Oryctolagus cuniculus: one gene and its partner. The protein of the gene in region 2 binds, or shares a complex with, the protein of the main gene of each other region. Links are inferred from orthologs where the notes say so. Each region holds a gene or a part of one and is shown on either strand. Other genes may lie near its edges.

Region 1 (3,748 bases), on a different chromosome or scaffold from region 2:
TTTTTCCTCTCAGCAAAGTAACACTTTTCTCTTCACTTCTGCCAGTTTTTCTCCTCAAGACTTCAAGACTGCCTGTGGTTTTTCAGCTCACGTGTTTATCAAAAACAAAAGCTTGGCAATTACTTGACTCTATCCTCATCAAAAAGCAGTTCAAAGATCCCCTCGTGTTGTTTAAATGATCTCCCATCCCCTGTGGACCATCGCAAGAGCTGACACACATGAATTCTCTCTCTTTGCCAGGCGATTCCTCAGAGCCTTCTGCACCTTATTTCAGCCTAACAGCAAATCTAAGAAGTATGTATTATTGTCTCCTCTTTAGAGACAAAGAAACTTTAGAACAGGGAAATTAAATTCTGTAACTGGCTCTGCTGCCTGAATCTAGATCCCAGAGGGATACTTGGATAACTCTTAGTCTGGAGCTGTCAATCAGCCAATTTTGTATTTTGCCCACCTGAAAATTTGGAAGTTTGATTTATCTTTTGATTTCTGTACTCAGCTCTGACTTATAGAATCAGTGATCACTACATATTTAAACGAAAACCATCATAGACCCCAGCGTGGGGGTGGAGGGTGAGAGGAAGCAGCCACTTCCTCTCCTTACTGATCAGATACAGCCCTCCTTCCTTCTCCAGGTCCTGAAGCCTTCCTGGGGGGCAGCAGGACAATCCCCTATTCCCGCCCTACCTGCCCAGGTCAGGTGCTGTTGGGAGATGTGGAATTCCAACCAGAGTTTTTCCAGGACCCCTGGGGAGAGAAGTTCTCCCTCTCCCATAGTCATCTTACAAGCCCTTTGTTAACTTTTTTTTTTTTTAAGATTTTATTTATTTATTTGAAAGTTAGAATTACAGACAATGAGAGAGAGAGAGAGACAGAGAGAGACAGAGACAGAGACAGAGAGAAAGGTCTTCCATCCCTCTGGTTCACCTCCCAAATGGCTGCAACGGCTGGTGCAACGGCCGGTGCAATGGCCGGAGCTAAGCCGATGTGAAGCCAGGAGCCAGGAGCTTCTTCCAGGTCTCCCACACAGGTGCAGGGGCCTAAGGACTTGGGCCATCCTCTACTGCTTTCCCAGGCCATAGCAGAGAGCTGGATCAGAAGAGGAGCAGCTGGGACTTGAACCAGTGCCCATATGGGATGCTGGCGCTGCAGGCAGAGGATTAACTTACAGCACCATGGCACTGGCCCCCCCTTTGTTAACTTTCAAGGACTCTTTGGTGAAAAGGGACCTCAAAGAGGTACCTGGCTTTTTTGGTGTATGTGAGATTTAGGCGCCAATGCAGGCATTCCTTATGAATCACCATATAGATGAGGTTTACATGGTAAGAAAAATTCTTAGAGGCAATGATTCACTCTTCTCAAAAGTCCTGAAAAGGGAGTGGCCTGGTTGCTTCCCCACTCCTTTCCTGACAACATCCTTGTTTTCACCTGTTCTGAGCCCTAGATAACCTTCCCGCTCTTTTCTTCTTAGAAGCCAACCCCCCTTCACAGTTTAATATAAAATGCACAGCCCATGGACGGAGTAACTGCAGAAACTGCCCATCCACTCCCTCCAGGGGACTGAGCTGGAGATCAGGTAAGCAGCCCAAGAGATGCTTCCAGGAGCTGCTTCTACTTGAGAGTTGGGAAGAAGAGAGCCAGAAAACTCAGCACTTTTCCCACTCCTAAATTTGGGGTTTGGTTTCTCTGTAATTCCTGCTTAGCTCTGACATATAGGTCAGAAAGTTTGGGCTGACACTAGTGCCCACAAAGCTTGTGTCAGGTCTGTATCTGCTAGGGGGAGGGGCTTGGGGGATGGAACTTGCAGGCTGCAAAGATACTCATGGGGCTGGAGAAGAGGGATTCCCCACTCTGGAGGAGGAAAGCATCTCTCACTGAAATACAGTGAAATCCCTTTATGATGCCAGTGGCAGGCACGGGACTGAGTGTCCTTGGAGTTGTAAGAACGAGGCTCTTTCAGATAAGGTTCTGGATAATAACATGGTCCTGGTAATAACTCCAGGGTCTGGCTCACAGTTTATTGAAAATGATCTTCTAATGAGCTATTTGCACATTGGGCACACATGTATTTTATTTTTCAACTGTATTTTGGGGTCAAAGAAACTCCAGTATTCAAAGACAATACTCCCAGGATTTTTTTTTTTTTTTTGACAGGCAGAGTGGACAGTGAGAAAGAGAGAGACAGAGAGAAAGGTCTTCCTTTTGCCGTTGGTTCACCCTCCAATGGCCGCCGCAGCCGGCGCATTGTGCTGATCTGAAGGCAGGAGCCAGGTGCTTCTCCTGGTCTCCCATGCGGGTGCAGGGCCCAAGCACTTGGGCCATCCTCCACTGCCTTTCCGGGCCACAGCAGAGAGCTGGCCTGGAAGAGGGGCAACTGGGACAGAATCCGGCGCCCCGACCAGGACTAGAACCCAGTGTGCTGGTGCCGCAGGCGGAGGATTAGCCTGTTGAGCCACGGCGCCGGCACACTCCCAGGATTTTAGGTCACTTGTGATCCCCACCTGGAGGGATGGAGGGCCTCTGTCTAGCAAGTGGCAATAAAACACACTTGGAGAAAGGTGCATGCCAGTGTTTCCTCACTGGGACAAACTCTCAGGAAGAGGGATGTCTGCCTGATATGAAAGTGAGATTGGAAACCACGGAGGCCACAGGTGGCAGGAGGAATTCTCTTTGTGAGAGGATGCTTCTCTTTCTCTCTCCCTTTCCCAATCAGACTCTTCCAGGAAAGTGAGATCGCCATGGCTCTGGACAGACCCCTCATCCTACTTGTCCTGGGGCTGCTGATGCTGGGATTGGCACAGTCTGTTTTGGACAACGAGTCCCCGGCCAAGAAGTTCCAGCGGCAGCACATAGATCCAAAACTTCCCCTCAGCAGCACCTACTGCAACAAAAAGATGGAGCAACAGGACATGACACAGGGCTGCAAGCCACTGAACACCTTTGTGCACGAACCCCTGAAAAAGATCCAGGCAGTCTGCTTCCAGGAGAAGGTCACCTGCAAGGACGGGAAGACCAACTGCTACCGGAGCACCTCCAAAATGCACACCACAGACTGCTCCCTGTTAGATACATCCAAGTACCCTGACTGCAAGTACCAGACCGTTCAGAAAGAAAGATACATCATTTTAGCTTGTGAGGGGAACCCATTTGTGCCAGTCCACTTTGACGCTTCTGTGGAGTAAGGCCAGAGCAGAATGAAGCACTTCCCCCCATCGCCAAGCCCATCATTTTGACACTGCCATTCCCTTCCTCCTTCCTTACCATAAGGGAAACAACTCCAGTTAAGTCTATTCTCCAACACACACACTTTTTGAGACTTGCTTCTCCATGGTTTGGGTGGTGGGGTGTCAGGAGTGTGTTGTGGGGGGAGTCCCATGTTAACCTGATCACTGTTTCTTTCAATAAAACTTAGTTGCAACCAACATCCTGATTTCTGGAGTTTTCCATTCAGTTCTGTTTCCATTAGCTTTTTGTATGGCACCTGGAGTAATTAGGTGCCTTCCTTTCTAACTCTTGGATTTAAGTGACTTGAGAAAAATTTCTTTCCTTGCAGATTTCTTGATGCTGAACATAAAACTCTTGAATGTAGGCTGTTTTAGGTAAAAGGGAGCTGCAGCCTTATATAGAGGGGGTAGAACTTGAATACTACAATTCTCTGGTGAAGAAGGAAGGAGAGCTTGAGCCCAGGGTGGGGAGGAGGAATTTATGAAATTGTGACCTTGAATTTCCTTTATCCTTCTTTGTTGAGTGA
Region 2 (2,654 bases):
GCCTGGGCGTGACCGCGTGAGAGTGTTTCGGGAAGCTGAGGGTTACAGGGAACCAGGAACCTCTCCTGCGCTGCGGGTCTGCCTTGACCTTTCGTGGGACACGGATGGCTTCGGGGGCGCCCCTCCCCCTCCCCGCCTGTCTCCAGGCCGGGACTGGGCTCAGCTTCGCTGTCGCTCACTCCCGCCTGGCTGGTGGCCTGGCGTCTCCTAGGGCTGGGTCTGGGCTGGCCCAGGGTGAGGGCCCCAGCCTGGAGGCTGTCAGGACGCTGGGACCTGGGTGGCCGCCCGTGAGTGCCCGTCGCTGTGGGGTGACGTCCAGGGTCCTGGCCTCGTGGGACTGTGGTGCTGGCAGTGTGGGGAGGGAGGGGCTCCACCACGGGCCCCGCCCCAGCCCCCCCTTCCCCTCGAGGCAGAGGCTTCCCGGTGCACACCTGCTGTGCCCCTGCCCTGGGTGCAGGGAGGCCGTGCCTGGGCCCCCAGCCTCCTGGGTTCTGTGGTGGGAGGGGCATCTGGACTCCTGCTGTTCCGCAGCTCTTGGGCCGGTACGCACTCTCCTTCCCGCCTGGACCACACTGCGGCCCCCACCATGAGCCTCGACATCCAGTTCCAGCAGCTGACCGACGCCGGGTGGACGGAGCTCCTGCCCCAGATCCAGCAGTGCCCAGTGGTCAGGTCAGCTGGTGGACACACGGGCCAGCTGCTTCTGCACGGGGGCTGGGCCCCTGGGCTGTGGCAGCGTCTGTCTTGGTTCGGTTTGGGTATTTTAAAAGATTGATTTATTTGAGAGGCAGCGTGACAGAGCGAGAGCCTCGTCCGCTGGTTCACTCCCCAGATGGCCGCAACGGCCGGGACTGGGCCAGGCTGCTGCCAGGAGCCAGGAGCTTCACCCAGGTCTCCCACAGGGGTGCAGGGGCCCAAGGGCCTGGGCCATCTTCCTCTGCCTTCCCAGGCCACAGCAGGGAGCTGGGTCGGAAGTGGAGCCAGCGCCCACGTGGCTCACCGCGGCCCCGGCCCTGGCAGCCGGTCACTTGTGACTCTTAGGGGTTTTTCAGCCATTTAAAAATACAAGAATCCCGCGGCGGCTTGGGCAGGGCTGAGGACCCGGGGGCGGTCAGGGCCCGGGACCCAGCCTGTCCCCGTGCAGCGGCTCTCGCGGCCCCGGTGCCTGCCGTCCTGGTTTTCCTCTGGCAAATCTGAAGCCATCTTAGACTTGGAAGAGTTGGGAGGACAGTGTGGGCCCTGCCCGGTGCCGGAGCCTGCCCCAACAAGGCCTCTCGGCCCGGCCGCCCCACTGCCCACAGCTCAGCCCGCTGCCACTTGGAGCTTGGCTGCTCCCCCAGGGTCCCCAGGGGGCCCTCTGCTCCCTCCCCGGGCGACTTCATCCCGCTTCTCTTCCTGGGCTCTCCCAGGGGTGCTCAGGAGGGGACAGTGGCAGCTGGGGACACCATCTGCCCCGGGAGGCTGCCACCGGTCATCTCCAAGGTGTTTGCCCCGCAGGACCTCCCGCCCTCCTTGGAGCCGGTGGGGGGATGGTGGTGCTGGCTCCGCCTCTCCCGTGTCCGTTCCCTTGGGGGTGCCTGTGGGGTAGGGGCCCCCAAGCCCCTGGACGCATGCTGACCGGGCCCCGCCCGCAGGATTGAGGACTGTGGCCTCACCGAGCCCCGGTGCCGGGATGTGAGCACCGCCCTGCAGGCCAACCCTGCCCTGACCGAGCTCAGCCTGGACCTCAACGAGCTGGGGGACGCGGGCGTGGGCCTGGTGCTGCAGGGCCTGCAGAGCCCCGGCTGCCAGCTGCGGAAGCTCAGGTGCTGGAGGGCGGCTGGGCGCAGCCTGGGGCAGGGGCCGGGCGGCTCGGGCACAGCCTGGGGCAGGGGGCGGCTGGGCACAGCCTGGGGCAGGGGGCGGCTGGGCGCAGCCTGGGGCAGGGGCTGGGCGGCTGGGGGCAGCCTGGGGCGGGGGCGGCTGGGGGCAGCCTGGGAGAGGGGGCGGCTGGGCGCAGCCTGGGGCAGGGGCTGGGCGGCTGGGCACAGCCTGGGGCGGGGGCGGCTGGGGGCAGCCTGGGGCAGGGGCGGGGGCGGCTGGGCGCAGCCTGGGGCGGGGGCGGGGCGGCTGGGGGCAGCCTGGGGCAGGGCCGGGGCGGCTCGGGCGCAGCCTGGGGGCAGCCCTGACGGCCCCGCCTGCCCGCTGCAGCCTGCAGACCTGCTGCCTGACCGAGGCTGGCTGCGGGGTCCTGCCCAGCGCCCTCCGCGCCATGCCCAGCCTGCGGGAGCTGCAGCTCAGCGACAACGCCCTGGGGGACGCGGGCCTGCGGCTGCTCTGCCAGGGACTGCTGGATGCGCAGTGCTGCGTGGAGAGGCTGAGGTGACGCCCGCCGCCCTCCTGGGCCGCCCCCTGCGCGCGGAGCCCGGCATGGGGAGGCCCTGGGTGCTCGCGGTCAGCACGGGGGGGGGCAGGGCGGGCTGGGCCGGGGGCTGCAGCCCTGCGCCCAGCGCGAGGCCTTCCCCCAGGCTGGAGTACTGCAAGCTGTCGGCCGCCAGCTGCGAGGCCCTGGCCTCCGTGCTGCGGGCCAAGCCCGGCCTCAAGGAGCTGGCGCTGAGCAACAATGACCTTGGGGAAGCCGGCGTCCGCGCGCTGTGCCAGGGCCTGAAGGACTC

The links. The genes of interacting proteins can lie anywhere in the genome.
Region 1: the proteins of RNH1 (region 2) and RNASE1 are in contact, whole or in part, in a crystal structure (PDB 3TSR), measured with the Mus musculus proteins. The link is inferred for Oryctolagus cuniculus from reciprocal best matches to the Homo sapiens genes RNH1 and RNASE1. Residues at the interface, in NP_001165571.1 of Mus musculus: Cys7, Asp32, Thr60, Asn89, Asp117, Glu145, Tyr146, Asn174, Glu202, Trp257, Trp259, Glu283, Ser285, Trp314, Lys316, Glu340, Glu397, Ser401, Asn402, Gln426, Val428, Tyr430, Asp431, Ile432, Tyr433, Trp434, Thr435, Asn436, Glu437, Arg443; in NP_035401.2 of Mus musculus: Arg26, Glu27, Lys32, Gln36, Pro48, Thr49, Gln53, Lys56, Arg57, Met60, Asn62, Gly63, Ser64, Cys65, Lys66, Pro67, Val68, Asn92, Lys94, Asn96, Leu111, Lys112, Gly113, Asn114, Ser115, Lys116, Asp121, Ala134, Glu136, Val143.

Annotation. Positions count from the first base shown.
Region 1 is NC_091443.1:54,022,340-54,026,087, forward strand, and holds RNASE1 (ribonuclease pancreatic), read left to right. Parts: upstream 1-1,468; 5' UTR 1,469-1,573; intron 1,574-2,710; 5' UTR 2,711-2,735; coding exon 2,736-3,179; 3' UTR 3,180-3,419; downstream 3,420-3,748. UniProt on the Homo sapiens protein: Endonuclease that catalyzes the cleavage of RNA on the 3' side of pyrimidine nucleotides. Acts on single-stranded and double-stranded RNA.
Region 2 is NC_091432.1:183,097-185,750, reverse strand, and holds part of RNH1 (ribonuclease inhibitor), read left to right. Parts: exon of another isoform or gene 1-287; intron 288-531; 5' UTR 532-586; coding exon 587-672; intron 673-1,634; coding exon 1,635-1,805; intron 1,806-2,190; coding exon 2,191-2,361; intron 2,362-2,507; coding exon 2,508-2,654. UniProt on the Homo sapiens protein: Ribonuclease inhibitor which inhibits RNASE1, RNASE2 and angiogenin (ANG). May play a role in redox homeostasis. Required to inhibit the cytotoxic tRNA ribonuclease activity of ANG in the cytoplasm in absence of stress.